4 linked regions of the Rhinolophus ferrumequinum genome follow. The protein of the gene in region 4 interacts with the protein of the main gene of each other region in a pairwise test. Links are inferred from orthologs where the notes say so. Each region holds a gene or a part of one and is shown on either strand. Other genes may lie near its edges.

Region 1 (8,163 bases), about 23 Mb from region 4:
CATTCAGAACAGCCCATGGAGGACTCACGTATCCAGACCACTTGACATCCGTTATCCAGAACACTAGATGTGACCAGACCTCCAGGCACCCGTCCTCCAGAACACCTGGCATCCATCATCCAGGCTGAGAACCATCCTGGACCAACCCTAGGGCTAGGAGTGCAGGACTGATTAAAGAATGCACTTTGTACTATAAGAACTCTTAACTTTACCTTCTCCTCCGGAACACTTTCTGGGTTTTTCCCTAGTTATGTTTCTTGCTTGCAAAACCTAAGACCCTTGAATAAATTTTTATCATTTATTTCTAGACAAAGTCTTCAAACTCTTTTTGAGTATTATTAAATACTCTGTTATCTTATAGCAGGATGAGGTGGCAGGAACATGGTAAAAATATTAGCAAATCCTATTTCATGAAGGTTAGCACTACAATTCACTAGCACTAAAAGCTTTGCTCTTTTAAGATTAATTTTCTAAAATGTTTTCATGATAAAGTACCTTCTTCCATCCATTATCTTGTGTTTTGTAAACAACAGGTAAATATGTTAATACCTTTGAAAATTCTGTCATTACATTTTTCTTCCATTCATTCATCAAATATTTATTAAGTTCATACTTGATGCCAACCACTGTACTCAGAGCTGGAAATGATGAGCAAGAGCAAAACTCAGCACAGTCACTGCTCTTGTGTACTTATGCTTCAGTAGCAGGCATGCTTTAATCAAATTAGCACACAGACAATTGCAGAAACAAATTTATAACTTATTAGCAAGTAAAGATATATGATATAATGATAGTAAATTTATAATAGGGGCATTTATTCAGCTCAGGTAACTTTGAGAACGTGATATTTGAGCTAAGATCTACAGGAAGAGGAGTCAAAGACAGGCTAGAAAAGTCTGAACAAAGAAAACAGTACCAGAGGGGCTGCAGCCACAGTCTCCAGTTCTATTTTTCTCTTAAATAAAATGCCCATCTGGCTTTTACCCTTTATTCCACCAAAACTGCTCTCAAGATCTTCAGTGATATCTACATTGCTAAACGTAGTGGTCAATCATCAATCCTCATTTCACTTGACCTAGGGCAGCATTTAACGTAATTTAGCACTCTTCCTCCTTAATCACTTTCATTTGGCTTTAGGACAAGTGGGTCTTCCTGTCCATTCACCGGCCTCTCCTGCATATTCATCTTTGTATATAACTCCAAATCAACCCAAACTCAGTGGAGTGCCTGTTTTGTGATTCCACCTGTTCTCAGGCTTTAACGTAAGCCGTCAAAATACTACAAGCAGATGGATCTATGAAAGCTGAAAGTGAAGCTGGATGGAGCTATGCATTTAAGAATCATAGGTGGTGGTGAAAGCATGGGTATGGATGAGAACAGTTTCAACTATGCAGTAAAAAGGGGACCTAGACGTAAGAAACCCTACCCTTTGGGGGTTGGACAAAGGAGGATGAGCCCAAAAAGAAGACACACACACACAAAAAGAATGACTTTTTTTGCTTGTTTTGTGAAATCATACTCATAAGAAGTTCTTATTTTTTAAAATTCTGAATTAAACTAGTAGCATCAGAATGTAGCCAGGCTTTCCAAATGAGACCAATTCTTTGAAACTATAAATCTGTTCAAGGATAGGTCACTTCCAGAAACTACGTATCTGGAATCTACAGTACCTGTCTCTTTGCAGCTTCAAAGTACATCAATACAAAAAAAGTTATCCCTCTCAAAATATATGATTTGACTTATTGTAGTTTCCTGAAAGTACCATTGACTTTTTGTAGTTTCCTGAAAGTACCATATCTCTCTCACTTCTGGGCCTTACCATATGCTGTTCTTTTGGCCCTCTCTTTCACTGGGATGGTTTTCATGACTTTCCAAGGCTGGGCTAAATGAGCCTCTCTCTAGCCATTCCAAGGATATCACACAGTACTGTAACCGTATGTTTAACCATTCGTTTCTCTAACTTCATACATAGGAGCTGTATCTTTTTCACTGTTGTATACTCTGGACCTAACAAGGCTACATATTTTGAAACACGTTTATTCGGCAATGTGAACAATTAAAATTTAATTTGGTTATCAGCTCACGACTTTTCCTAAGAGGAATGATATTTTTTAAAAACCAGCAATTTGTAAACACATGGTTGAATTTTTAAAATTTTGAATATTTTTACAGGTCTTTTTTCATATAGTATCCTTAAAGCCTGCAAAAATTCATACCAAGGAATACCAGATATTCTTGATAGTCTTTTCCCTTTAGTCTCATATAAAATGGATTTCACAACTCACTTTCAAAGCAAAGCCCTGCTTGGATGTCATGTTGGCTGAGCAAATAAAGCCCAGAAAACCCTTAAGCAACGGCAAAAGAAAGGTGCAATTGCACAGGGATTCATGAATCCATCGCGCACGAGTCCACCTGAAAGGGCGGAAGCAGAGGCAGCAGCGCGGAGCACTCCTTCCTACAGCATCCCTCTTTGTCTGGCCGTCTGCGGCTCCCTCGGACTCTTAGATTCGCCACCTTTCCCACTTTCTCGCCTCCACGCGCCCCTCGGGCTTGGGCACCCGAACTAGTCCTTCCCACACAGATTACTAGAAAAAGTCCCTGGACTAAGGAGGACAACCCTCGACGGCTTTGTCTCCAAAATCTCAGAGGAATGTAGGAAGGAAAAACCCTGTCAAGGGAAAAGTGGCATCCAAGCCTACAGTTCTCACCAAGCTGACGCTCTCAGTCTCCCAGCGCGCTAACGGTCGACTCGCCCGCCGCCAAAGGCAACGTCGCAGTGGTTTGTGGGGGCTGTAGTTTCTATCGCAAACGGAACGCGCCAGCAGCATCAAAACTACATTTCCCAGCACTCAATAGGAGGACGCCCTACCTCCTTGAATAAAGGATTTGGAGTAATAAAGAGATAGTCACTAATTTTAGGCCAATCTTAAGATTAGATTCAGTTTCTTCCAGGAGCGCGTCCGTCTTTGCCGTGCTTGCCTTGTCTGTGAAAGTTTCAAGGTACTTCAACTCCTTACTTTTCTTTCCCTTCGCCAGTCCAGAGAATCCAAACGTCAAGGCCTTAAGGCGCATGCGCCTTGCTCGCCATCGCGCATGCGTGGCATCCGGCCGCCGTTAGCGGTCGCGCACGGACTTGGGGTCTGGAGGTAGCTGGAGGAGGGCGGGGCTTTTTCCAATGGCTTTGCCTCTGCGGGTCGCGTCTGCCTGGGCGGGGAACAGGGCGCTAGGGCAGGGGCGGCTCTTGGTTTGTGCCGGGCGGAGAAAGGGGAGGGGCTGGGGGGTGAGGACCCCATCTCCCCTCCCTGCTCCCGCCCTCTGGGCCGAGCCCCACAGATGGGGCTGGGCGAAGAGGCGGGTTCTGCGCCTGGGCCCTGCGGCTCCACCAGCTCTGCGGCCCAACCCGCGCTAGGGGATTGCGGGGCAGCCCGGTGCCAGTCTGGTTCAGTGGGCGGCGGGCGAGGACGCAGCGATCGGGAGAGAAACGGCGCCTGCCAGGGGGTCCGGAGCCAACCAGACCTCGGCACTGTCCTCTGACTACGCCGCCGAGACAGCGGCTGCTGGAGGCTGCTGCCTCCCCGGCGCGCTTGGGTCTCCGGCCGCGGCGGCCAGTGAGCCGCGGTTCCGCGAGCCTTCCCAGCCTGCGTCCAGCCCGCCGCTGAGGCGCAGGGAGCAACTGCGGAGGGCGGGGACTGGTGCCCGAGGAGGGGCGGGGTGGGAACGCTCCGGAGAACGCGGTGGCTGCACAAATAAACCCGAATGGCTGGAGGGCGTTCAACGTTACCAGCCTTTTGGGGCAGAGCACGGATTTGACAGCTCCACAACGTGAGGATATCCGCTGACCCCGCGAGACGGAGAACACTTCCCTGTCCAGCAAAGCCAGCACTGTAAGGTTTCAACTTTCCAACTTTTTTTTAGTCTCCGACCAGAAGACTGTCGCTGCGTGTAGGAGAGGGTGAGGTCTATCTTGCAGATCGTTTGAAAGCCATCAATATTAAAAGACACTTCTGGTTCCAAATGTCACCCAGACGTGTGTTTTCATGACGATTCGATGTCCCTGATTTTCTTACATTTCTTGTTTAAAAACACCTTAAATGTCTTTGGGGACATGCTGAAAGGTAACTGAAGACTGCAAAGAAAAAAATCTCCGTTTGTCATGGCTGAAGGAGAGAATGAAATGAGATGGGATGGACTGTGCAGTAGAGATTCAACTGCTAGAGAGACAGCACTGGAAAACATTAGGCAAATCATTTTGAGAAAAACTGAGTATCTTCGTTCGGTGAAAGAGACACCTTATTGTCCATCAGACGGGCTTTCAAATGCTGTTTCTTTGGATGGGTTGAATAAGCTGCTTGCTCATCTGCTTATGCTTTCTAAGAGGTGTCCCTTTAAAGATGTAAGAGAGAAAAGTGAGTTTATTTTGAAGAGCGTCCAGGTAAGGAAGAGCATTATAATTACAACTGTCTGTCTAATACAGTAAAATTTTACTTGCACTTAAATTCACTTTATTTCTAATAGGTTGTTACATGAACTCTTATTATGAGTTCAGGCTACATCTTAATTTTAGAGTGTTCTGTAAAACATTGAATTTGGGGCCAAAGTTGTGCAACATGAACTAAAATAAAAGCAATTTTCAAATATAAGTAAACAAGTATTGTCTTTCTAGAAAGTTGTAACAGAAACTGCATTGCTCCTGGAAAAAATGTGTGAGTTATAGTTAGTTGCAAGTAAAGACTGACTTTTCCCTATATTCATTTTTACATGTTGTTGGGAAGTGTAGCCAGTATGCTTTTTACATTGTTACAACCAGTGTTCTGTGTGGAAAGTTTCACATTTAAAAGCCTCCAAAATGATAAAGGATATTAAGTGTTCCCTTGTCAGCTTGTTCAAGATAATTGGTGAAACAATTTTCCCTTGTTCTTAAAAACAAAACAAAAAAATCCAGGGTCTGTTGTCTTAACTGCAACCATTCTTTAAAAAAAAAAAAAATGAAGAAGAATTACATAAAGTAACAAAAGCTTATGTTATAAAAGAGCTGAAATCTTCAGATTTAAAAGTTGGACCCAAGTAGACTATATGACAGAAACACTTTTATGGTAAATTACTCAACCAGCTTTCTCTGTGTTTGCTTAATTTTTTTTTCTCTACACACCTATTTAAATTGTGAGTACAACAGGTTAAACATTATAGTTTTCCTCTTGTTTTGTACATAATTTATCCTGTTTTATTAGATTTATTAAAATGGTTCTCTTTTAAGGGGTTGTTTTTAGATATTAACAATGCTCAGTAACACTGTGCTTCTCAGTCTAAATTACTCAATCTACATGTGTTCAAAGTCATAGTGTGAGTTTTTCAAATTTATGATTTTCTTGTGTATACATATGGAAGTTAAGATGGACAGTTTTTCTATTCTGGCTAAAATTTAGTTTAAAGCAATAGAAAAATAACCATGTCCATAAAATGGAGACTTTTTAAGATCTTGGGACATTTTTTCTTACAGACACTTTGGAAATAATCATTACAATTCATTTATCCAGGGTTACCAGAGAGGGATTAATTTTCTAGATACCTGAAGTTTACCGTCTCAAGCATCAACATTATTTATCATATAGACTGTAGTGACTACAATTACCTTTTTTCATAATGGGGTCATCATTATGCACATCAAGTACTGTTGCATAGCTAAGGGTGGAATGTAGAAGACTATATGATCCATGTTTTTTTAATTTTGTGTTCAGTTTTTATGGTTTTCCTGTTCCTTTTTTTGCTGTTAGTATACTTCACTTTGGTCTCTTTTTGAACCTTTACATTTGCTGCTTATTTCTGTTAGAATGGGAAACCAGATAACCAATTTTGTTAAGAGTTATAATGAAAACAAGTAATTAGGCTCTGGGGAGTACAGGGTCAAAGGACTGTGATACAACCGTAAGTAAATGGGTACTGGGTCAACCTATACTCCTTTATTAATATACTGCATAACCTTGGACAAGTTCCTTGACTTGTTTTAGTTTGGATTTCCACATCTGTAAAATGGGAATTAATAACAGAGCTGTTGTGAGAATTAAATGCGATGTAAAGTGCCCCAGTATATAGTGGATGCTTCTCTCCCCTTTCATAAGTGAAATACATGGACTATGTGATAGATATTTCAAGACTCATTCATTCTGCAAAACGATCCAAGAATCTCCTCTACTGTAAAGGTTTGCCGTAGATTTATACCTTTTTTCATCTCTGCATCTATTGCACTTTATTCCTGCCACAATTTTAACAGGCACTTTACTTATATTGTGCTATAATCATGCCTATGTGTCTCTTCCCCCGGGAGGGCTGTAAGTTCTCAAAAGTATTGGCTGGGACCTGGGAGCTACTAAATAAATATCAAGTGGATGAACAAATTTATATTTGGCTTCTTTTTGTTTCTTATCAGTCTGAATAGATGAAGTTACTAAATTAGGGAGTTTCCATCCCCACATTATTCAGTCATGCCTTCATTCAACAAATGTTTATCGAACCCCAGGTGAATGCCATTCTAAGAACTGGGAACCAGTGCCGAACAATTTTGACATTCTACTGAAGGGAGACAGATCAGAAGGAAGTAAACAAATAATGTAATTTTAGATAGGTAGGGAAGACTTCCCTGAAGAGATGACATTTAAACAGAGATTTGATGAGTGAATAAATACTATCCTGGCAAAAATGAGATTTTTGAGGAAGACATTCCAGGCACAGGGAACAACATGTGTGGAGGCCTCCTGGCCAAAAAGAGCGGATGAGTTCTCAGGACTGAAAGTAATGCAGTGTGGTTGGAGCACAGGATGAGGGGAGTGTGAAAGCTTAAGCACGAGCTCTGGAGTCAGACCTGGCTCCAATACTTTATTAGCTCTACAACCTTAGAAAAATTACATAATCTCTCCTTGACTCGGTTTTCTCATCTGCAAAATGAGGACAATGCTAATAGTTCCTGCCTCACAATGAGAATAAAATGAAACAATGCTTGCAAAACATAGCACAGTCCCTAGCACATAAGAAACGCTCAGTTTAGAATTCTGTTTTTAGGCAGCCACATAACAGAGGATCTTGTAAGCCACGTTAAGAGTTGTGGACTTCATCCTAGGAACAATGGGAAGCCTGTGAGGGGTTTTGAGCAAGATGGTGACATGGTCCGTGGTGTATCAGAAAGCTCCCTTTGGAAACAAAGAGAATGGATTTCAGGGGTCAAGAGTGGATGTGCAACATCAGCTGGGCAGTTGTCCACTTATCCAAAGCAAAAATGATGGCGGAGTAGGACATAGTGGAAAAAAGTGAATGGGTTTGGGAGAGAGCTAGGAGTTGGAAACCATAGGATATAGTCTTTAATTGGATCTAGGAGATGAAGGAAATTATCGTCATTTCCTGAAACAGAAGAGTGGTAGAGGGTCAGTTTAGGGGGAATGATGAGTTCTATTTAAGACATGTTGAGATTCCTGTTGCCTATGTTACCTCATGTTAGTAATAGCTCCTGAGGGATTTCTGCCCCTACTACCACTGTTCTAGTTCTGCCATTGTTCTCCCTCCTCCAGCCTTAACCTATGTTCCACCTTTATTTATATCCATTCCCCACGTAACTGCAGAGCCATTTATCTACAGTGAAAATCTGCCGAAATCTGCCTAAAATCCTTTAAAACAGAGTGGAATCTAAAGAATTCCAGCATCAATCTGGCTTCTCCCTACTGCTCTGTCCTCACTGCCCACCACTCCCATCCTTACTGCTCTCACTCTGGCATGAGACTCACAAGGGAAACCAAATAATTTAGATCGTAGCGCTCCATAATGCTTTTTGCTGTTCATTAGTAAAGCAGCAAAGGCTGAGTGAAGTGCATTTGCAATTCTTTCAACTGTTCTGAAGATCCTTAATTCTATGGGTCAGCTCAGAGAACTGTAGTCTGTTAGGGAGACGTGGTGGGACAATGGTCGGATGAATGCAACTTAAAATGGCTAAACCTGTAAAAAATCAGCACATTGGGAGAGAGCAGTATGTTTGTATTCCTGCTCTCAATTTATTGATTTCATGTCAACATACGTAAATCTGTTCAACACATTTTTGAGAACTATTCTCTGTCAGAACTGTACTGGGGACTGGAAGATCAGTAAGATTTGTTCCCTGCTTTTGAGGAAGTTCTTCTATTC
Region 2 (7,452 bases), on a different chromosome or scaffold from region 4:
TCATGTCCCCCTTAAAGACACCAATCCCAACTGAACAGCACCCCGTTTTTTGAGGGACTCCACGGAGATGTTCCTCAAAGGTCCTAAATTTTAATAACTCCAAACTCTTCCCTTTGTTCCCCCAGCCCTAGAGGGGTTAGCCGCTTCCTGAATTTGCTATTTCTGTGATATATTAGTGTTCCTTGCTATTTTTTCAGTTAACAACTTATCCTAATTAACAATTTGTACTAAAATTTTCTCTGTTAAAATAACAGGTATGGTTTCTGTCTCCTGAATAAACCTTGACGGATTTGGAAATTGGTACAGAGTCCCAGTAAACATCCTCAAAGATGGAATTTTGAGATTGGTTTAGCTGTGTCCTTGGACTTGACTGTAGTGCTGAGCGCCTTGCTAATAGAAAGTGGAACGTTGTGCATGACATGGCAATACCATTAGTCAATATTACTCCAACTTACTTAATCATGGAAATTTTTGTTGAAAGAAGCATCTTATAGGACTAGTATTCAGCACAACAAACTTTGGAAATGCTGGCTTAACCATAGTTCTCTATTGAATGTATCCTCCCTAAACACATCAATCACATTGCCGCTCATGTTTTATTTAAGCTGAGAATCTGTACTCATCATCTGAGCCTCAAGCCATATTTTACATCAAATGTTTAGAGCTTTTTCCTAATACTGAACACAAATACCTCCTCAAAGGAACTAATTAGTTCTATTACTTTATACATGTCTCTAATATGTCACATTATATCATAGTTGTTTGTTTACATACATGTCTAGCCCACTAGAATTGGAGCTCTTAGAGATAGAGACCTTGTCTGCTTCATCTTTGTACCTCCAATGCTGATCAGTGTCTGGCATATAGTAAGTATAATTAATTTGCATGCATATCATTCATGAGAATGGTTATGGAGGCTGGCTATATTCATTCATGAAGAAAAATTTGCGCACTTTGAATTTGTTATTCCAGAAGAATATAAATAGACATGCTTCATTATTTGAAATGAATTTGTTTATAGCATTCTTACTATGTGTTACAACTACCCCCTCAAGAGTAGAAACTTCTTTCTTTCTTTCTTTCTTTCTTTTTCTTTCTTTCTTCCTTCCTTTCTTTCTTTCTTTTTTTTTTTTCCATTTTACAAATCTGTTCATCTTAGATAGGCAAATAAGTTCAGCTCAACAAGCACATACTGAGCAATTACTCTGCCAGGAACTCTGAGAAGCCTTAAGTACACAAATATGATACACATAAATGCTCACAGTTCAATGGGGAGACAGATTCCCAGTCAAATAATTTCAGTATCAGTGTGATAAGTACAATAATGGAAGTATATATGAGTTGTAGGAGTCATTTAGTAAAGAAGATATGATCATGATGAGAAGGAATATGAGGCAAGACTTCCCAGGGATTTTTGAGCTGGAGTTTGAAGGAGGAACAGGAGTTCCCAAGCAGACAAAAGGCAGGGGCATAAATAACAACATAGAGGCAAAAAATAGTAAAGCTTTGAAGAAATAAAAACAATTCCAGGAGCATTAAGCACCAGATGGTTTGTGGAAAAAAATAAGGCTGGGAATTTAGGTAAAGGCCAGTCATGAGAAGAGCCTTAGTTGCCATAGTAAGGAACTTGGACTTATCCAATGGGCAATAGGGAGCCAGAAAAGGCAAATTTTCTGCATTAGGAAAAATTTGTATTACCATACATTAAACAAACATCTTTTGAGCACATATAATATCTCAGACATCTTTCTGGGCACTGGATTATTTAATAGAGTTGTGCCTTTAAACCTCTTCATAAAGGACATTTTTATTGATAAGGTACATAGCCTAGATTTCAATGACCGTTTCTATCCTCCCAATTGATTCTTAGCATAAACTTGCAAGACAGTATTTTTAATTCTGTTGCTAATGCCAAGACCAACACTTTGAATCATTTCTGCCAAGCAGCAGATTTTTGAGCAGCCCATTTTATAAACTGTAATTAGCCTTCTATAAAGGGCAAATTATTTCTTTTATTCTCTTTCTAAACTCCATAGCTTTCATCATATATTATTGTACATTATTATCTACATATTTCTATGTAAAGTTAGTCCAAGGAAATCCACATCTTTCCATCTTACAAACTCTTGTTTAAAATAAACAGAAGAAATTTAAAAATGTTTTCCAAAATGAAGGGAATGGGCATCAGGAAGGAGTAAGGAAGGTCCTTGGAAAGAAGAAATATGCACAAAAGAATTAAAATCCAAGTATTACCTATACTAAGTATTATTAATACTAAGATATAAGTGGATCTGGATAGCATAGCAAAACAATTATTTTGTGCATCTGTTAGCAAGATATGTCCTAAGGTATCAGAAAACCTAAGAGAGCTAGTAAGGGTGTTTTGCTTAGTATAAAACTGGATGTAATTAAGCATGTGTAGTATGATTTGGTTGGTTATTTTTTTGCCTCAAAAAAAATTCCAAATAAATTAATGGTAATTGCGTCTTCGCTTTTTTTTTTTTCATACTACTTCGGCTTATGAAAGGTGTCGCATTCTACTTTTGGATATCGGGGTAAACCTGTGTAGAAATCAAATGGCCATCAATTAATTCTATATTAATTAGAGGAAGTAAAACTTGAAATTTCAAACTCAGTGATGGCAAAGAAAGGAATGAGCAGTACCTTATTTATTAAAGATAGTATTCTTGTAATTTACAAAACATGTTCTCAAATGGATTTCAAACCAGTGTGCTGAATATTGGGGGGGGGGAACCACACAAAACTTTACACCTAGATGAAAACAAATGATCTGAAACTGATTGCTAATTTGTTATAAAACAAAAACTTCTTGTTAACCCATGTCAATTATTCTCCCCTAACTAAAGAGAAGCAAAGGCAAAGAAAATATACTAACTGTGCAAGGAATCATGACTTTAGGTTCGATTTGGGGATGGGTGGCTTGAATGATATAAGGTTGCTCAATTTGGGATTAGATAGTATTGTGAAATCTTTTTCTGGATGTCTCTAGACATAGGCTGGATTATAAACTGTCTATCTCCCTACAAACAAGGGAACAGACAAGATTTCTCAAGATCCTGTCAAGCCCAGGGATCTTTAGAAATGAAAGCCTAATTAAGAGGCTCCCTAGAGACAGGTCAAGGGAGTTCTTTTATCCCTACTGCCCTTATCCCAGTTCCTCTATGCCTTATTCCTCCCCTTTCATTCACCATACTCTAAAACTGAAGACTACACATTGTGCAAGTTTCCACCTTTGCTTCCTCTACTGTAAATTCATTAGACTATTAGAATTAAGAAATGTAAATGCCTCGTCCCTTATCTCTAAACTGTTCATGTTTAACTGTTTTTGAATACAGCTGAACACTAGAATTTCTTTTAAAACTTGTTTTTTTTTTTTTCAATTGGACAACTAAAGTAAAAAAATATGTTAGACTCTGATTATGGGATACAAAGTCCTTCAAATATCTTTTAATAAAGCTACCCAATAAAAAATACTTTGTCAAATTTCAATTCGGATTTGTCTTCCTTCTAATATCAAAGATTGTATTGCATGCAATTATTTGGGTTGAAATCCTGTTGGAATTATCTTGCCAGTGTTTCACTTCTTTGAAAGTTTTAGGGTGAACATCTCTACCGTAACAGCCAGAGAATAGCAACTGATGCACGTTTTAAAACTTTACATAATCATTGCGCAGATTTAAACTATCATTCCCTTGATAGTGAATGAGGCATAATAGAGCATTGTTTTTACATCCTCCTCTCACTCGCATGAAAAAGTAGTGACGTTAATTTGTGTAAGTTTTAAAAAATCTTGTAGTGATGAAAACGTTCTCTCAAAATACGCCAATTCTGTGTGAAAGTTTTTCAATGTTTAGAAATACGTGTGGGGCACCACTGCATCCCTGACCAGCGATCTTTCCCCCGACCACTCCACAGTGCCATGTTAAAATTTCAATTTATAATTTGGGACTAAAATTCTTCCATTTAACTGTAAGTTTCCTCTTACCAACACTCATAAGCAACATGTAAGAGTCAAGAAAGACTTCACGATGCACTCAACGGACCACGATTCCAATCACCATCCCCAAAGAGTGTGTCCATCCTTGCCTTGGCAGGTGGGCAATTAATTACCCGCTCCCAGTCCGCGGCATAAAGCTATAGCTGCATCTGATTGGTGCATGTACTTGTCAGTCACATAGAAAGGGTGGGACCTCAAAGTTCCGCTCTAAACTCGACGCAGTATTTTTACATCATCGCGGAGCGACCAAAGCAGAAGAGGGAGGGGGTGGGGTTTTGAGCTCAGCTCGGTGGCGGTGGTGGGGGCGGCCTGCGAAGGTGTCATGGCTGCTGCCACTGAGCTTAGTCGCCCGAGCATCGGTGATAGGAGCCTGGAACAGAGCTGCAGCCCCAACCTCTCCCAAGAGGTGCTTTGTGAAATCTTTCGCTCCCTGCATACCCTGGCTGGACAAGTGAGTGATGGCCTGTGGGAGTGGGGGTATGGGAACCATCCGGCCCTTCCCCCCTTCTTTTCTCTAGCGGAGGCGGGGGCAGTGGAGGCCTAGCTGAGACCCCGGCCCCAGTAGCTGAGGCCCGAGTAGCTGAGGCCGGGGGAGGAGCCCGCGCTCAGCCGCCTGCGTTCGGAGTGAGGATGGCCGCACGGATTTAGTTCAGGACCGGTTGCAGACTAGATTTCCTTGCAAATCTTCTCCCCAGGAGTAAGTGAGGATAGTGTAAGTCAAAATCTGGCTCCTAGAGGAGGAGGCTTGGAGAGAATGAATGCGGAAAAGCTTCTTTGAGGGTTTGGGAGACGCCTGGCGCCTAGGATCCCGTTTCCTCCAGTTCAGTCATTATCGAAATTCATAGGTTAGTACGGCCTGAGATTTCTGGAAAAGCTCTCTCCGCCTCTTTTGGGTAATTTGCTCTTATGAGTCACTTGATTTTGTTTATTTCTTTTTTCCTTTTGGCCGTTGTGTGCATCTTCTACCCTTCAAACGGGGAGGAAAATAAAATTAATCTAAAATACTTCTAGCAAAAAGTTTGATGAGTTATTCATGGTGGATACTGTTGACCTCAGAACTCTTGTTTAACTATTAACTAGTTTAACTGGCTGATAAGTCGCTTTTGCAGAAATGTGATAAAATTGAGTTTAAGTACTGCGTACACTATTCCAATCAAGTTACTGTTTCCTTTCATGATGTAAAATGCAAAAGAAATTTTAAATGAGAAACAACTTGAAAATAAATTTGCTTTTAAAAAGGAAATATTTTCTCCTATCTCAAACGAAATATTTTCTAGCTATAAATAGTTTGTTATGGGGCTGGTACTAGTGCATATAGAAGGTACAGCAGGCATTTGTGTCTAAGATAATGTTTACTTCCTTTATGAAAATAGAGTGTTTGTCTGATTTGTGAAAATTATTTTTAAAAGCCTTGGGTGGATGGGGAATCAATTTTTTAAAAATCCTGTTATTTTTATCATGACTTAACAAAGAGCATTACTCAAACTTTAGTGTAATGAGATGATTACCAATAGAATCAGCTAAAAGTTGTAACTCAGTTGTTTGCCATGGACCTAAAAAAAAATTATTTTTAAAGACTTGAGGACATTAATATTTCAGTCTTAAGACCCGAAACTATAAATGGTTTAAAAGTTAGAGAATGTTTTGTGGCATGGACATTGGAACTTACAGTCTAATGTCGAGATGAAAAAGTTTATGCTCACCTCTAATTTACAGGGGTTTTTGTTTTTTTTTAGTGATGAGATTTTTTTTTTAAATAATGTTAAGAAATAATTTAAACATTGCTTTTGAAATATTTTGCATACTAAATTTTTAAAAGTCATTTAAATTTTTTAAACATTCGAATTTTCTATATGTAGAAGTAAGGATGTGATTAAAATTTACTTATGTCAACTGTCAAAAGTGTTCAGAGTAAATATTTGGCAAGTTTACTTGACACAGTGAAGGGACCATCTATAAGGTATAAAAAAGAGTGTCTCATCAATTAAATGCTAACCATTTTGATAATATTCTTTATATCTTGATATGTATTGTTTAAAGATAAGAATGGAAACCAGAGGATGTCAGTTTCCTTTTGCAACAAGTTTTTAAAAATGTATGTTCTAATAGACCTAAGTTTATTCTGTATAGTAAGTATCATTGTAACAGACATAAAATTGAATGTTAAAAAGTATTTTCTATCCCGATTTCAAATGTACTGATGCTAACCTTTTTGCTTGCCTCTGGATGGATGGCCCATTTTACCAAGCTAAAGAATTATTTATTTTTAGCTTGGATTTTCATATTAATTTAATAAAGTTTTTACTGAAAGTGCATATTTAAATGGTACATGTTATTGGCAGACAAATACATTTTTGAGTGAGTGATTTACAATTACAAGTTCTATAGGGTAGAAATGCATAGAATTCGTATTACTAGTAGGGAATTTGTTGAATGAATAGTTGGATGTATTGGGATAGTTTTAAAGTTAATTTGTGACATTATTGTATGGTTTTCTTAAAAGACCAAGTATCTTTACTCGCACTTGAAAGCTTACATGATTCTCCTGAGTTGAATTGAGATTATGATCCAAACACAGATTTATTTTCCGTAAAGTACTGTTTTCTCCAGAAAATTTGATGCTTTGCTTTGCTTTGCTTTTGGATTTGCCTGTTTTATTCCCAAACCATATTCATAAATTTGTGTAATCCACTATAGATCTCTTTGAGGATTGTAAAAGTACAATAATAGTTTACTTCCATACATAACATAAATTGTCTTTCAAAGGCTTTATAGTCATTAAATAACATAAATTAAGATTAATGTGGCAATCTTAATGTAAAACCATAGTTACTATAAACTAATCTTTGCCAGTGCAGCCTACACAAAACTCCGTTTTTCTTTCACTCGTCTAATATGGACTTTAAATGTTTCTGGTCTCATGTTCAAAGAGTGGTAAATTTCTGTCATATAGTATTTATTCAGTTTAGTGCCATTTTTTTGGTAACTTGGGATCTTTTTGGTTCTTTGTACAGTTATTCATCTTTTTCTTTTAATATAATCACAACTCATAAGATCTGTATTTGAACTAATGTAACACTTTGTACAAAACATGACTAATTTTTAATAAATGATTTCTAAAAAAATAATATGTTTGTTAACTTGATCATACTATGCAGTATTTATCCTTATAGTATGTCATAAACACATGTCCCTAGAAAAGTTTATGGTGGTTCACTTTTATTCACTCGAAAGACTAGAGATAGAGGGATTCCTTCTAAAATTTTCATTGATTTTGACATTTTATATTCAGGTTCTTGATAGTTTATATGATTTTATTAAAATAGGTCACATATAGCTAACTTCTGAGAAATTTTCATATAATGAGCCCTCACACTTTACTAGAAAATACTATTTAGCAAAAGATCTGGCTATTTCATTCAGTCTCTGGCCTT
Region 3 (8,168 bases), on a different chromosome or scaffold from region 4:
TATTTCTCAATAGCATGGGGACAGAGGCAAAGCCAACCTGGTTCTCCATGCTTTGGAGACCATGGTAGACGACGTCTGGTCCCATGTCCGCTGTGAGGAGTGGAGTAGTTCCTCATGTAAATCTCCAGTAATTCTCATTCACTTCTGGTTTGTAACTATGTTGCACCCAAACAAACTCTATGGTTGCCTACTAAATTCTAAATTCTTTAAGGTCTGTTTCTTAATGATCTTTGTATGAACCATAGGGCTTAGTGTTATGCCTGGCGTACATTCAGTATTCCATACTTTCCCCCCCCCCAAAGAATGAATGAAGAGAAATATCAGTCTCCAAGGCCTCAGATTTGCAGGAGTGAAGTGATATCTGCTACCCATCCTTAGGTTGGAGACCTTCAATCTGCATCTTAGCCCTCTGTGCTATTGTCACACCACGGACCTCACACCTGCTCAATCCAGAATCCTACCCTGGCTCTCCTGTGGATACTAGGTACACTGCTCCCTGAATCGCACTGTCATCCATTTCCAATGTAGCAAAGAATGCAGGGATTGGCACCACACATATCTGAATTCAAATCTTACCTCCTCCACTAACCAATTGTATACGCTGGGGCAAGATCCTGCTTTATTTCTCTTTTTTCTACATTTCTGAGCTCAATGTGGCAGAGGCTGCTAGCTGTCCACCAATATCCGTTATTCTTCCTTTTATTATACAACTGCTAAGCTTTAGTTGGCCATGTGGCTGTCCAGTTAGAAACCACATTTCCCCACCTTCCATGCAACTAGCTGTAGCTCTGGGACTAAGTTCTGGCCAATAGGGAGTGAACAGAAATGAGGCCTGCCTCATTTAGGAGTATGACTTCAAAGTCCTACTCCTAAAAGGAATGGTCTTAAGCTCTCCGCTTGCCCTTCCCCTTTCCCTCTGGCAGGAGCACAGTCATGATGGTGGGAGCTGAAGCAATCACTTCGGGCCCAGAGGTGGAAATCATGCAGTGAGGATGGCAGAGCTACCCTACAAGTCCTGGTCTGCTTCTCTCTGGGCTTGTACAGGAAACAGAAATGAACTTCAGTCTTATTTAAACCACTGTATTTTGGGGTCTCTTTGTTACAAGAACTTAGACTATAACTAATGTGCTCAATTTTCTTAGTTGTGAAATAACAATACCTAACAGGGCAGGAGGAGTGTGCAGGAGGACTTAAAACAGTGAGAGCTATTATTATTGAGACTTGGGCAGCTTTCTTTTAGCCTGATGTTAAAGTCATGATCTGAGCAGAAAAACTGAAAGTGAGACATCTGCAGTGGTTTGACTAGTGCAAAGTCAGTCGGTCAGGATTAGGCACTATAGTGCCATGCCTACCCACTGCCCCACCTCCCCTGCCCAGCTCTGGCGTCAACCAGGGGCCAGTTGGCTAATAAAACAATAGGAACAGAAACCTTTGTGGTGTTGCTGGCAGGGAAGGGGTGGGGACAGATTATTTGTGAGAAGGAATTTAATTCTGAACAATGGCAAATGCTATACAAATTCTATTCCTTATGTCTTCATGAAAGTTTTGGTAAAATATCCAGTTCTTGTTGCTGTTTTGAGGAGCTAGATCTGTTTTGAGGCTATGTTTAAGCATTGAGTTCAGTTTTCAGGGCAAATGTGGGCGGATGCTCAGACACCTGGTGCAACAAGATAGGAGCAAGCAGGCCAGTAGCTGCTTCACTGTGGAAACCTAAGGGCACATGGGGCCAGTGTGGGCACCCATCACCCTAAAAACATTTTAAAAAACTCACTAAGAGTTGGAAAATGGTGATTTTTGTGTGCAGCTCCATAGTCAAAATTTGAAAGACCCAAACTATAGATTCTTAATTAAAGTCTCTTGAATTTACCCCACCCTCCTCACCAAAAATAACTGGCATATTCTTCTATTAATACTGAATTTCAAAATTCCTGTACCGTCAGGGAATTTCTGGCATAGTTAAGTTACAACTTATTAAATAGAAATTTCTCAGCACTTACCCCACTGTATTATGGGCTTGGTTCTCCATGTCAAGAAACTGCTGCATCTGGTTTAAATTTCTTGATTTTTAATCTGTTAGGGAGAAAAATGGTCTAGATTCCTAAAATGCTTACATTTATTAACCTATAAAAAAAGAAAATTTTGCTACTGGCAAACCATTTTCTATGTTTTTCTGAATGGAGTAACTCTTGGTTCTATAAAATGTAGAAACTTGCACATGTCTGTGTGTGTATGTGTATGTGTGTGTGTCCGTGTCCCCATGCTATGAATTGGCTTAATGATGAGTTGAAATATGTGGCACTGACTCAAATGAGCATTCATTCACTGTATATTGAGCAATGGCTTGGTGCCAGGTACTTTGCAAAAGTGCTCAGTACATGAGGTGAGTAAAACAGAATTTCTATTCAAGAGTTGTTCCATCGAAACGCTTGCAAACTTTCCTTTCTTGTGGATCCTCTAAAAGTTTGCCTTTGAGTAAATTCTTTCTTTGGCCCTTTCTGGGTTTTGTTAGAATGAATATCATGAATATTTAAGACAAAAAAACCCCTAAGAATTCTCTAAAAATAGAAAATTCACAATTCCTCAATGGTTCTGTGGGCACCTGTTTACCTGTTTGACAAAATAGGGGTGTTAGTGCTTGCCTAAATTAAAAAAAAAAAAAAAGAAAAGAAAAAGAAAAAGCTTTTCCCAATAACAAAATTTTAACTGAAAAATCATCTATGAGGATAAACGGACAAAGAATTGAATAGGACTTCAATTCCTCTGATTTACTGAATAAAAGTCAATGAAATAGCATTCAAAATGGTAAAAAGGAGAGGTTCACATCACTCTCAAATCAAAGGATTTCAGAGAGACCCTGGAATTGTGTATGTAGACGATGGGCGCGGAGCAGGGATGGGGAACGACGGACAGAAGCATACATTCGTTTTGCAGGTTCTGAATTCCCTCACTTTAACGTCAGAGAAACTGAGGCACGGACTAGCTAGGTGACTTGCCCAAGGCCACACAACTAGAACCTAGACCTTGTAATTTAGGTAGAATCTCTGCTCTGAATTCTGCAAGGACCATCCTGGTATCCCAGGCTCTCCCCACCTGTCGCCCGACCGCGACCCCGACCCCGACCTCCTTGTCCAGACCCACGCAGGGTTCAAGGCCAGCCTCCGTGGAGCGGCCGACCTGCTGTGGTCCCCAGCTCCTCCCGAGCGAGCCCCGCCCGGGGGCCAGGACGAAGATCTGGGGGTGAAGCCGGGGACGCCCGGATGGGTTACCTGCATCACACTGCGCCGCGCTCTCCCGAGAGGTCTGAGGTCCCAGGAGCAGAAACTCCCGGGTCACCGCCCTCCCCGCCCGCCCCGAGGGGCCCCGCCGTCCCCGCCACGTTCCCGCCGTCCGGGCCCGCTCGCCGCGTGGCCACCGAAGCCGTTAGGGCTTCACTTTCCGGGCCAGCAGCCAGGCCGCCGCTTTGCCACTGGTTGCCATGGGGACGCGGTCCAAACTCGCAGCCCGGGGGCCTGGCGGTGGGGGATAGGCTAACCCGCGGGAGGCGTCGGCAGGCGAGGCCTTGCGGGGGCTCCACGGCCACGGAAACCACCCACTCGAGCGCGACCTCTCGGTCCCTCAGTTTTACGCCTGGTTGTTCCCTAGACGAAGGGTACCCTGAGACCACATTCCGGGTCCTTTCCTTTCTGTGGCTCTCCCTACCTAGCCCGGTGTCCAGCATCCAACGGGGGTCCAAGAAATATTTGTTGAATGAATGAAGGAAGGAAATAATGAAGGAACAAAGTGTAAGAAGCGGGGAGTGGGGGTGGAATCTACATCCAAGTTCTTTAAATCAATCCCCTTGGCCCTTCGCCCTCTCACCCACATTTGAAATGATATGAAAAAGAAATAGACTTGGGGTAAAGAGAGAGCTCCCTTTTCAATTCACCGAGATGTCTTCCAGTCGGGAGTAGCTGGATTTCTTTTAACAGCATCGCTCAGTGGACAGCTAGTCTGGTCACGATAACAGCAGAGCTGTACCTGTCTTTTCCCTACAGTGCATTGATTGGAGCCTTAGAAAAGCTCCGTGAGTTAGGCGGGGCAGACTTGCCTCCCTTTTAGGGAGAAGGAAATAGTTCCTAAGTGGGACAGAACACAGAGTGACTGATTCCAAATTCTTTTCTTTTTTCACCAAATTCCAAGAATAATTGATGACAAAAGTTCTGTCACACAGTCCTCATTTGAAAGCAATGATAGGAAAGGATATATACATGTATTTGTGCGTATACATTTTTTTCTACTGATACCTTGAGTGATATATTTAAGTACTTGAATTTTGTGCTTGGAAAATATTCTTGCACCTATTTTGGTAACAGAATTCCTTCCCAATACATACAGTCGATTGATTTCTAATTCTTAAAATCTTTTATTTGCTTTCTACTTTCATAACATTAAGATTAATTTGCTACTTTAATATGGCTATCAATTTAAAACTGACTCCAATCCTTCCATTCAGGTTCAAAAAAACCATTTGCTGTTTTGTGACAAATTGAGTTTCATAGATGAATTGTGTAACAGCAACTCAGGTTATTAGTTCTAATAAGTGTTTCATAGCTCTCATATCATGATTGAATGAAGAGAGTAATAATTTTATCGTAACTTGAAACTTTTCATTATTCTGAAAACCTTAGTCTTATTCTTTATTCTTGTCTAAACTGAATGGGTCAATGTATTTATTCTGACATGAGGAAGAGAAAATGGAACTAGGAATGAAAATTTCCTGAAGTTTCAGGATGCCCAATATCACTCACACTGCGTAGCTCTTTACCATTGGTTCATTCACGTTCATTATTTCCTTAGTTGCTCAGAAGTACCATGTGACACAAGTATAACAGGTGTTATTATAGCTCCTTTCAGCAAATTAGGAACCTAAGCTTTAGGGAGAATAAAGAATTTGTCCTAGATGATACATCTAGACTAAGAGTAGCTAAGAACCTAGACCATCCTACTCAAAGTCCAGTGCTCTTCAAACTATCTCCAATTTAAGGTTGAGTAGATTTCTTGAGCAGTCAGAATGTTGCATAGGTAACTGCAGATGTATTTAAAGCCACATTTTCAAAAGAAAGAATGGGTGTGGGCAGGACTTGCAAAACATAAGCATGTGAAAGAACACAAACTGTGATGTATTTTAAGAAAATTTAAGTATAGAATAGAACCCCGCCCCCGTTTAATTTAATAGGAATGAAGGCTTTCATTTCAGGATGTGACTTAAGGCTTAAAATGCAAAGGCCTGCCTATATCCACCCCAACCCCCACTCCAACCCCCAGTAAGAAGTAACTGCAAAGAAAAATTTACTCTGAAACGTACCTGTTATTAGATCTTTTCATGTGAAATTAATGGAGAGAGCAAAAAAAATCCCTGAGTTTAAAGGAGGGGAAGAATGTGACCAGGGTATTGGCGAGAGCACAGTCCTTAAAGAGAATTGGAGGTCACAGCAGTCAGAATAAGATATAATAAGAAACGGTCAAAAGAAAGTATATAAGGCACATATGGCCGAGGAATGAGGAAAACCAGTAGAAACATCAGATCACCAAAAACAGAACCACAGAAGCTTCAGATTTTGGAATCAGACAGAAATGATGAAAAGTATGGATAGTAAAGGTCTGACAATTAAGTTTCTGAACTTGTTGCAACAATGTTGCTAACCTTTTTTGATATTAGAGGGATTATTCATTATGAATTTGTACCAACTGGACAAACAGTTAACCAAATTTACCATTTGGAAGTGCTGAAAAGGCTGCATGAAAGTTAGATGATCTGAACTTTTTGCCAATAATTCATGGCTCTTGCAACACGACAATGCACCAACTCACACAGCACTGTCTGTGAGGGAGTTTTTAGCCAGTAAGCAAATAACTGTATTGGAACACTCTCCCTACTCACCTGATCTGGCCCCCAGTGACTTCTTTCTTTACCCAAAGATAAAGGAAATATTGAAAGCAAGACATTTTGATGGCATTCAGGACATCAAGGGTAATGGTATGACAGCTCTGATGGCCATTCCAGAAAAACAGTCCCAAAATTGCTTTGAAGGGTAGACTAGGCGCTGGTGTAGGTACATAGCTTCCCAAGGGCAGTACTTGGAAGGTGACCATAGTGATATTCAGCAATGAGGTATGTAGCACTTTTTCTAGGATGAGTTCACAAACTTAATTGTCTGAACTCGTATGCTTAAAGAAGTAAAGGACAAGATTTAAAAAGTCTGCAGGGAGCACTAATATAAAAAAATGACCCACTATATTTGAAAAGGAACTAAATAGAAATTCTAAAGCTAAAAAAATTGCTAATAACCCAAATTAAGAACACAACATATGTGTAAGTGTAGACTTGATACAGATGCAGAAAGAATTTGTGAACTGGAAAACAGATCAAAAGACAGTTTCCAGAGTGTAGGGAAAGATAAAATAATGCAAATATTTTAACATGAAGGTTTTACAACTTTAGTACTTATTAATGGAGTTATTTGTTGTTATGAAAATAAAAAATAGATGATATATGTGAAAATATCTAGTACATGCCTGGCAAATAGTGGGTACTCAAGAAGTATTTATCAAATTTGAAATTAAAAAAATTAATGTGGCCATTTTGCAAATCATCTTTGTCACTTTTTATAATTTCCATTTCTCTGTCAAAATGTCCAAGCTTCTCTTTTATTTTTTTAAACATATTAATCATAGTCATTTTCTATTTTGCGTCTTATAATTCCAGGTTCTGAAATGTTTGCGATTTATTGCCATTAGTTTTTACTCATATCGTGTTGTCTTGTGTGTGTTATGATTTTTTTGGCTAGGAGATAAATTTTTGGTGTAACTTTATTTCTGACATGTTTGAGGCTAAGATCGAGGTTTGGAATCTTCCAGAGAAGATTTACCTTTGCTTTTGAGAGTTGCTTCAGGACATAACAAATCCCAAAACACTTTACATTAAATTCTTCGCAGGATATTTTTTTCAGACAGCATAGGTAATATGAATGAACGAGATAATAACTGTTAGGTTCGGTTTATGATGCACAGTTCCAGACAAAGAACTTTCCTTTATCCAGTGCCAAAGTCAAGATGGGCATGTTTTTTGCTGTTCTATTTTTGTGACTTTTTCTTAAATAAGCTTTTTATTTTAAAATTGTTTTTAGAGTTATAGAGAAAATGTGAAGATAACACAGAGAGTTCCCACATCTAGTAGTGTTTATTACTAACATCTTACATTTGTACAATCCATTTGCCAAAATTAATAAACCAATGCTGATATATTATTAGTAATCAAAGTCCATTCTTTATTCAGATTTTCTTACTTTTTCCTGTTGCAAGATCCCGTACAGTATACCACATTGCATTTAGTTATGTCTTCTTAACCATGTCTTGGCTATGACCTTTCTAAGTATTTTCTTGTTTTTGATGGTCTTGATACTTCTGAGAGGTGCTGGTCTGGTATTTTGTAGAATGCCCCTCAATTGGAATTTGTCTGGTGTTTTTCTCATGATTAGATTGTGAATATGGGTTTGAGGGGAGAGATCACAGAAATAAAGTGCCGTTTTTATCACATTGTATTAAATGTACATAATATCAACATGATTTATGACTGTTGATGTTGATCTTAGTCACCTGGTCGAGATAGTGTTTGTCAGGTCTCTCCACTGTAAAGTTTCTCACCTTTCCCTTTCTATGCTGCACTCTTTAGATGGAGATATTATGTACAGTCTTCACTTAAGAAGTGGGGAGTTATGCTCCATCACCTTCTTAAGGTTGGACTATGTATATAATTATTTAGAATTCTTCTGCATGGAAGATTTGTCTCATCTCTCCTATTAATTTATATCAGTATGGACTCATGGATATTTATTGTATACTTTTAATTATAACCCAAAGCTACTTTAGTTTGTTTCTCAAATTGTTGTAGCTTAGGCCATTGGGAGCTTTTTCAGTTAACTCCTATGTCTCTTTGCCATAACCCCATAATTGTGGGTTTTAGTTTAGTTTTTTTTTTTTTCCTTTGAGCACTTCATTACTTTCTTACATTATGAGATACTCCAGGCTCAGCTTGTATATATATTATTCCTGCTTAAGTCCTAGAACCCGCTGTTTCTCTAAGAAGCTGTGGTTCCTTTTATTTAGAATGCAATTGGAAACCAACAGCT
Region 4 (8,393 bases):
GAGAAGGTGTAGGGAGCCCTGAAGGAAGCTGGTAGTCATCCAAAGATGAGATGTGGGTTTTACTAAAGGTTGGAGAAAATGCCCTTTTTAGGATTAATTCAAAGAAAAGTCAGATATTAAAACATAATTACTTGCCTAATCCTTTTAGGATTTTCTTTTCCAATTTTTGCTCTTTATTGCTGACAGTCTCTTTGGCTGTGGGTCGCTCTTCGGAAGCTACCGGTTCTCTCTCAGTTTCTTCAGTGACCTCCTCACAATCCCCATCCTCGTTGTCGGCTGGTTCTGTGTTCTCAGGGTGCTCCTTGGCCTTACTGGGACTCTCTTTCCCTGCTGTGCCAGCAGCAGACCCATACGTGTTAATGATGTCTTCCAGTTGTCGATTCAACTCTTCAGAGATGTCATGAGCTCCTGTTTCAGGCTGCACATCTGCCCCTTTCAGGGGTGCTTGGAGAGAGGTTGAGGAATTCTGATCATGTGGCTTCTCCAGGCCATTTTGACTGGGTAATGATGAACTGTCCCCCAGAGGTGTTGACTGTGGTTCTCCTGAGAGCTGTGCAGAGTGATTAGTCTCCATCCTGGGAGCAGTACCTAGTGGTAAGCACAGTCAGGTTTTATGCAGTTAACCTAGTTACGTATAAATGGTAAGGATACCTCCAAATGGGCGCCTACTAATTACAGTTTCTTACATAGAATGAATGTACTTTTACAAACGATTGATCTTGCAATTAGGTAGGTAGGAACAGTGGGACGCCATTTTTCCAAATCAAGTCATACTATTTAGCATAGTTTGTTTTTGGTCTTTAAATTCCAGTAGTATCTCCTATTGTTGACATTAGCAGAGTAATTCAAGATATTGTTTTTTATGGCCCTATCTGTCATTTTGCTTAGAATAGCCAATTTGTGTTACCATTTTCTTCTATAATCCTATGTAGATTTATAATCACTGAAAGTACATGGATGTATACACTTAAAATATTTAAATTTTAAATGGTGTTATTTTTACAAAGTTAAAATATTTAATACAAGAGCTACTAACTTACTAAAATCCTTCATAATAATGTCCCTAAACTCTATTTTAATCTATAAATGAAGATTTGATTAATATGAGTACATTGATATAAATGAATTATTATGCTGGATACAGGAAATGCTTTCTTGCTTTTTCTGGTATTTTCCTTTTCCCAGATGAGCAACATGTAATTATTAATGATGAAAACACTTTTTTTTTTTAGGTACACTAGCATCATTTTTGGAATAAGGCAGAGAATGAGGGAAGTTATAAATTAACAAACAAACTGGCATGGAAACATGGTGATGCTTATAATAATAATTCTTTGAATTTCTGTAATACATTTTCTTTTTTCCAGTATAAAAACTGGCATTCTTTTAGGAAAAAAAAAAACAGATTACAACATTTTCTTCTCAGTCAAGAAGTTCTAGGATAAGTTGATAATTTTAAAGAAATGGCCATGTTTAAGGCAAAGGGAGGAAATGAAGTAAGGAAATTATCCAGGTGTGATATGGGTTCTTTGGAAATATGGAGTGAGCAATGAGCTGAGTCAAGGATTCCAGGATTTCTGGCTATCCTCATTCCTGGGGTTGCAAGAGATTTGGCTTAGGCCTTTACGTTATGGTTCATTTCCTTTGTAAATGATATTTAGTGGTGATGGTGCTGATTAGCAGGACAAAAATATGACAGGATCCTCATAATGCACAGGTTTTGCTGCTGTGGAGGTATGGAAAGCGAAAACACAAACATGCTGCTCTGTGCACTGCACAGCTTCCTCCTTCTGTTCTCAGGGCAGTAGATATCAAATGCTTGGCCGCCAACAAGAATGGAAAATTCAACGTACAAACACTGCCACCCACTTGTGGTCCTCACCAAGTACACATTAATTTAGAAGGGAGTATTTTTTTTTCCCCTCACTCATTGTAATCCACCAACTTTATTATCAAATGATACAGTAAACAGCTTCATGTCTTCATCACTGGAATTTCTTTATCCTGACCCTTACCTACTTCTTGGGCACAGTCATCTATATATATAACTAGTGCCTCCCCTGAACTTGGAGAAAGACACATGGCACCTGCTTCCAGCCAGAAGCTATTTTAAGCTCTTCTAAAAGGAGCCATGGCATTTAGCACTTTATCCTTGAAAATCAAGGGAATGGAGTACTTTTTAATACAAATCGAAAACAGTAAACATTTGCTGGCATAAATTCATATGTGGGTTTTAAAGTGTTAAAAAGTCTTTTTAGGATGAAATAAAATCTAAAGTAAACCAAACTTCAAAGCAATGAATTTAAAAACTGACTGTCCATAGGAGTTTTGGCATGGTTAGTTTAAATGCAAGCATTTTATTTGTAATAGCTTTATTCTTCATTCCTCAGAGGCCATAATCATTGATGTTTTTATATTAATCCCACGGACAGCCTTTAAACTCATATTCCATGTTTACTTTAAAACAGAATAACTGAGTCATTGTGAACCACAGGAAAACTCAATTCCTAAAAGTAGCCTCAAGATAAATCAGCAAGAGGAAAAAAAAACCCAAAGTCAAAGAACTCTGTTACTTTTAAATTATCTCTTTCTAGATTAATTATACAGCAAAAATTATTTCTAAATTTTATCTTCCATAAATTTTATTGCTGCCTTTTCCCTCCTCTGAAAGAAAGTTTATCACTTGTACTGGCAGTCCCAGTAGATTATCACACACACATCCCTTCCTGAGCAACACATTTTAATTATAAATAAAACAATGGAAAGTTCTTCAACAGTTCGCTGGCAATCTTAAAGTTGCAAATTTCGAACACCACAAACCGCACCCCACATCTTCTCACAGGGCTTGGGGGAGTGTTTGTCATACTTACCAGAAGGCAAGGAGCTAAGCAGAAAGAGAAAGGAGAGGCAAGGGGCAGCAAAAAGTTAGTCAGAACAGCAGCAACAGCAGTAGACAGGCAGGCGGCTGTGTTCTTACAAGGGGACAGAGAAACCAAATACACACACACACATACACACACACACACACACACTCACACACGCACACACAGCAAGAGAGCAGGTGGGGGAGGGGAAAGGAACATCATATGACACAGCAGAGAGAAATAACACCCAAGCTTCAGTAGCTGTCTCCTGGGTCAATGTCTTAGAAAAGGGAAGCAGCTGGTAGATCTGATCAGACTCCATCTTGATTCCTTTAAAAAAAAAAAAAATGAAACTCTCAGTATGTAGACCTTTTGCTAGCACAGTTTTTCACCATTGTTGTTCTTTTGGGCAGAGAATTGGTTTTTCTTATTTCTTGGTTAATTTCCAGTGTGGCCTATGATTCATGTCCTTTTTTCCCCTTCTTACGCTAACCTAATTAGTGTCAGGTTTCTTATAGGAATCATGGAAAAAGGAAAACAATGGCCTAACAAAAAGGAGGTGGGAGAACTACTTTAATTCTGATGTCATTGTTTGGTTTATTTATAAATTTTGAATTAGAAATTTAGACGGCTGTCTTGGCAGTGGGCTAGTATCATCTTCAGGCACATGGTAGTTGGCGTGACCTCAGATTCCTGGTCTGACTTGGGTAACCACCTCCGCATTTCAGATAAGCCCCTGGGCACTTCACCTTTTCTTTCTTAGTTGGTGGCTTTCCTACCTTCTGCAGCCGCATTTCGAGGTCTTCACTATCCTTTCCAAACCCTCAACGTGCTCCTTAATCCCTCAGAAAAAGAACCTCCTCCTCATTCACCATAAAATGCTTCTCTTCACCTACATTCGTTCCCCTTTTCTGTCTGTTTCTGGAGAATGTGTTCCCACACTTTTCCAAAGTAGTTTCCTCCATCAGAGTTTCTGCTCTGGAGAATGGCTGGGCATTGTGACACCCCCTGTGATAGGCAGCATAATGCCACCCCAAGAAGTCCAAATCCCAACCCCAGGAACCTGTGCATGTATTACTTACTTTATCCAGTGAATGGGGACTTTGCAGATGTGATTAAGTTAGGGATTTTTGAGATGGGGAGATGATCCAGAATTATCTGGATGGGCCCAATGTAATCTCAAAGGTCCTTATAAATGAAAGAGGGTGGGGGGAGGGGCAGTCAGAGTGATAAAATGAGATTTGATGACTCAGCAGAGGTCAGAGTAATGCGAGGCCACAAACCACGGGGTGAGAGAAGTGTTTAGAAGCTGGGAAAAGCAGGAAACAAATTATTCTCTAGACCCCCCAGAAGCAATATAATTCTGTTGATACCTGGGCTTAGCTCTGAACTCATTTTTGATTTCTGACTTCCAGCACTGTAATAAATTTACATTGTTTTTAAGCCACTAAATTTATGGTAAATTGTTAGCATAGGGAGGGAAAACTAAAATATTCTACCCCCCAACTTTTCCCTACCACTTTCTCTGTGTTCAGGGGAGGCATAAGTTATATATAGATGAGTACACCCAACATGGAGAGGTCAAGATAAAGGAATTCCAGTGACGAAGACAAAGCTGTGTCCTGTCTCATTTGATAATAAAGTTGGTGATGTAAAATGGGTGAGAGAAAAAGTACTTCTATCTAAGGTAATGAGTGCTTGGTGTCGGCCACAGGTGGGTGGTATTCCATACTGGATTGTAGCGAACTGAATCAGTCAGCTCTCTCGGTAAATGTAAACAATAAATTAGTGATTCTCAAATTTAAGTAATGTACAGACTCTTAACAGGATAACTTAATCTTAAATTTTATTTTAAAGATAAAAAGCTCTCCATGGTTGAACTAAAGAATATTACTATTTGTATTGATATATACTAATAAAAATAGGTATAGACTTCTGATGTTTATTGTTATATAATACAAACTTTAAAAAATCTTATTTAAAAAAAACCTACAAAAGCAACAAATATAATTCAAATTAACAACATTGCTTTTATGTGACAGATAATATTTTGTTGAACCCAAACTGCAATTTACAACATGAATATGGTATTGCCTGTTGCTGGTTCTTTTGAGTTCATGGTACTCGTCTACAATGTGCTTTGTGAAATGACTCAATTTCTTCAACACTTGATCCATTCAAATTATTACATAAGTTTCAGTCATGTGACCTGCCATAATTTCAGTTCAACTTCCTTTGATACAAATGCATCATTTATTGCTCTTTTTCATTTTCCTGCAATTATTAAAATGTGCTACTTGGAGCTAACTTGATTAGGTATACACATGATAGTGAAGGTACCAAAATGACAGATATACCTACATGGTCGGACAATTAAGTTCGTGAACTTGTTGCAACTCTGTTGCTAAACTTTTTTGATAACAGAGGGATTATTCATTATGAACTTGTACCAACTGGATAGTTAACCAAGTTTACTATTTGGAAGTGCTGAAAAGACTGCATGAAAAAGTTAGACGACCTGAACTTTTCGTCAACAATTCATGCCTATTGTACCACGACAATGCACCAGCTCACATGGCACTGTTTCTGAAGGAGTTTTTAGCCAGTAAACAAATCACTGTATTGGAACAGTCTCCCTACTCACCTGATCTGGCACCCAATGACTTCTTTACCTGAAGATAAAGGAAATATGGAAAGAAAGACATCTTCATGACATTCAGGACATCAAAGGTAATACGATGACAGCTCTGCTGGCAATTCCAGAAAAAGAGTTCCAAAATTGCTTTGAAGGGTGGACTAGGCGCTGGTCTAGGTGCATAGCTTCCCAAGGGGAGTACTTCAAAGGTACCATAGTGATATTCAGCAATGGGGTATGTAGTACTTTTTCTAGGATGAGTTTGCGAACTTAATTGTCAGACCTCTTAATGACACCAAAATGACAGCTACCCAGATGATCCCCAATAGGCTTATACGTTATTAATTACAAATGGAATGAATACAAACACACAAACTTGTGGCTCCCAAGAATCCATCACGACCTGCGAGAGGCCCAAAAAGCTGGAGTAAGTAAATAACACAGATTAATAGAGCTCAGTTCTTATTATAAAATCAACCTTTGAGTTACTGAAAGGAATAAATTTCTTTTTTGAAAATAACATTTTAATTTTTATGCAAATATTACCAGAAAATAATTTGAAAGTCAAATGATGCTAAAAAGCTTATCACAAGAAACAATAATCTCTGTCCTGCCCACTACCTCTTCCTCCAAACTTGTCATGTTCCCCAGAGGTAATAATATTAAACTACTTCAGGTATTTCTTCTGTGATTTACTTTTTCATCTGTAAATATAACACCCATCTTGCTATCTGTCAACTGGTCGATTTTGGCATTACCTATTGTCTTCCCAAAATGACAGTTGAAGATTTAAATTACGGACACCTCTTTTTCTCTCCTCATTTCTCAATGAAATTACATCTCATTTTTAAATTCATATTCTATGTTTTCATTATTGAAATAAAATTCACTGTTAAATCAGGTAGAACACTACGACTATAGTTCTATTCTTTTGAAACTTTCTGGTTTTCCTGGAGTCAATGATTATCTTTTCATTTGCTTAGTAATAAGAGCTTTGTAAAGTGCCTCTCTATGTAATTTTTCCCAAGATCAAATCTGTTAGACAATTTACACATTCTAGTATATTTTTGAATATATCACCCCCACATATAAACACCCTCAGAGCCTTGACTTCCTGCTCCGGTCTGGTTTGGTGACTTTCTCAGCCTGCTGCACAGCTGTTGTCCTAGCACTTACTCTGCTGCCATTCTGGGAATTCCCCTTACCTCTCTCCTGTTTCCTGATTCCTATTCTTCCTCTTTCTTGGTTTACTTCTTCTTTTTATGAAACACACTATCCTTTGATTTCCTGAGAGAGTGTTTATAGGAGACTTTGTATGTCTCAAATGCCTTTTTGCTGTCCTTATATTTACTTGATTGATAGTTTGGCTGAATATAAATTTTTACAAAATGTAAAAAAAAAATTTATATTAACATATTAACATTTCTATCAAAAATGTTAAGGCATTATTCCCTTGTCTTTCAGTTTTCAATTTTTTTTCTTAAAAGTACAAAATCATTCTTATTCCTGATTCTTTGTATGACCTATTTCTTCTTTTCTCTCTGGAACGGTTTAGAATCTTCCCTGAACTCTAAAGTTTCACAATGATAAAATTAGATGTGGTTCTTTTTTCATTTATTGTGTTGGATGTTTAATGGGTTCTTAATCTGGAGACTCATGTCTTTAACCTCCTTCTCCCTTTATCATTGTTTATCACCCTTGTCCTGCTCTGGACTTCATATCCTGAGTCTAGAGCCTTTCTAGTTAAGCTTCTCCAGAGAACAGTCTTCAGGTAATTCAGGTAGCCTGAAAAAATGGACACAGGTTACTTGACTTTGTGAGCGGAATTAGGGATTTTAGGGTCTGACTGTTCATTCTTCTAATAAAAAAATGAAAAAAAAAAACCAGCCATCAAATGATCCTGCTGGAGTCCCCTGCCTTACTACTACTTTTGATATTATCTCTACTTACCAAGTATTAACCTCAAGCTCTTTAGTGTTTTCAGAAGCTACTAGGCAAATTGGTTAGCTTCTCAATTGCTGCCCTCAAGCACGTTTTTTTCTGTTGCATCATTTACCATTATGTCTTGCGTTCTAATCCTCATTCGTTGTGGTTTGGGGTTTATGGATTCAATTCTTCTGGTTTCACTGATGTTAGAGTTTCTATTTTTGTTTCTGTTCTTCTTGTTTGCTAGTGAATTTTAGAAGAGAAACAGGTCTGAAAGATCTTTAAAATGCTATCTTGAAGTCAAGAAGATCTGTTTAACCATTATAGTGGTCCAGTAATGAAATGAACTATCCCCCCGAAGTAAGAAGCTCCAGTTTCAGAAATATCCAATAGAGCCTGGTTGTTCTTTCTTTTAGGGAGACTGAAGAAGAAATTTCTACATGGGGAGTCAGAGGGGGGAGAAAATTAGATTAAATGACGCGTTTAAGATCTCTTTCAAATATAAGAGTCTATGAATTCTATACTTTTCTATTACGGGCTTAAGGGAAACAGAAATGAAGAAATGATATAATAATTAAGATTATATGCCTGAAAATCAGGCAGCTTCCATATGAATTCCAGGTCTGTCTTTTACTTAGGCTATATGTTAAATTTCTTCAGCTTCAATTTCCTTCTCTGTAAAATGGGGACTCCCTGTTTCCCATGGTTGTTATGAGACTAACAGTCAATGTGGTCTAGATGATGGACATGTAGTCTATGTTAACTAATTCCAATAATGATGCATTTAAGTGAGGCCTGTGAAATGGGAATTAATTTTTTTTTTTAACAGCCTTTTGAAGTTGTTGCTGTCTAGAACTAAGTTCAATCTTGAGAATCCATTGTATCGTCTCCTTGTTGTGGTATCCATATCCTTGATCCGGGTTAGATCGGTCTTGGGGTGAACCGATCTTTGTATACTCTGTTCCTAC

Evidence for each region.
Region 1: the proteins of TXLNB (region 4) and CEP57L1 interact in binary tests that used the Homo sapiens proteins (3 or more experiments, as listed by UniProt). The two-hybrid records come from large-scale screens. The link is inferred for Rhinolophus ferrumequinum from reciprocal best matches to the Homo sapiens genes TXLNB and CEP57L1.
Region 2: the proteins of TXLNB (region 4) and MBIP interact in binary tests that used the Homo sapiens proteins (3 or more experiments, as listed by UniProt). The two-hybrid records come from large-scale screens. The link is inferred for Rhinolophus ferrumequinum from reciprocal best matches to the Homo sapiens genes TXLNB and MBIP.
Region 3: the proteins of TXLNB (region 4) and DEUP1 interact in binary tests that used the Homo sapiens proteins (3 or more experiments, as listed by UniProt). The two-hybrid records come from large-scale screens. The link is inferred for Rhinolophus ferrumequinum from reciprocal best matches to the Homo sapiens genes TXLNB and DEUP1.

Annotation. Positions count from the first base shown.
Region 1 is NC_046286.1:61,797,911-61,806,073, reverse strand, and holds the start of CEP57L1 (centrosomal protein CEP57L1), read right to left. Parts: upstream 3,056-8,163; 5' UTR 2,829-3,055; coding exon 2,709-2,828; intron 154-2,708; exon of another isoform or gene 113-153; coding exon of another isoform or gene 29-112; intron 1-28. Other genes in the region: SESN1 (sestrin-1), read left to right, coding at 4,154-4,432. UniProt on the Homo sapiens protein: Centrosomal protein which may be required for microtubule attachment to centrosomes.
Region 2 is NC_046289.1:84,244,749-84,252,200, reverse strand, and holds the start of MBIP (MAP3K12-binding inhibitory protein 1), read left to right. Parts: upstream 1-4,271; 5' UTR 4,272-4,340; coding exon 4,341-4,469; intron 4,470-7,452. UniProt on the Homo sapiens protein: Inhibits the MAP3K12 activity to induce the activation of the JNK/SAPK pathway. Component of the ATAC complex, a complex with histone acetyltransferase activity on histones H3 and H4.
Region 3 is NC_046294.1:64,567,247-64,575,414, reverse strand, and holds the start of DEUP1 (deuterosome assembly protein 1), read right to left. Parts: upstream 3,310-8,168; 5' UTR 3,267-3,309; intron 2,071-3,266; 5' UTR 2,045-2,070; coding exon 1,998-2,044; intron 1-1,997. UniProt on the Homo sapiens protein: Key structural component of the deuterosome, a structure that promotes de novo centriole amplification in multiciliated cells.
Region 4 is NC_046286.1:84,909,778-84,918,170, forward strand, and holds the start of TXLNB (beta-taxilin), read right to left. Parts: upstream 3,001-8,393; 5' UTR 2,871-3,000; intron 589-2,870; 5' UTR 575-588; coding exon 136-574; intron 1-135. UniProt on the Homo sapiens protein: Promotes motor nerve regeneration. May be involved in intracellular vesicle traffic.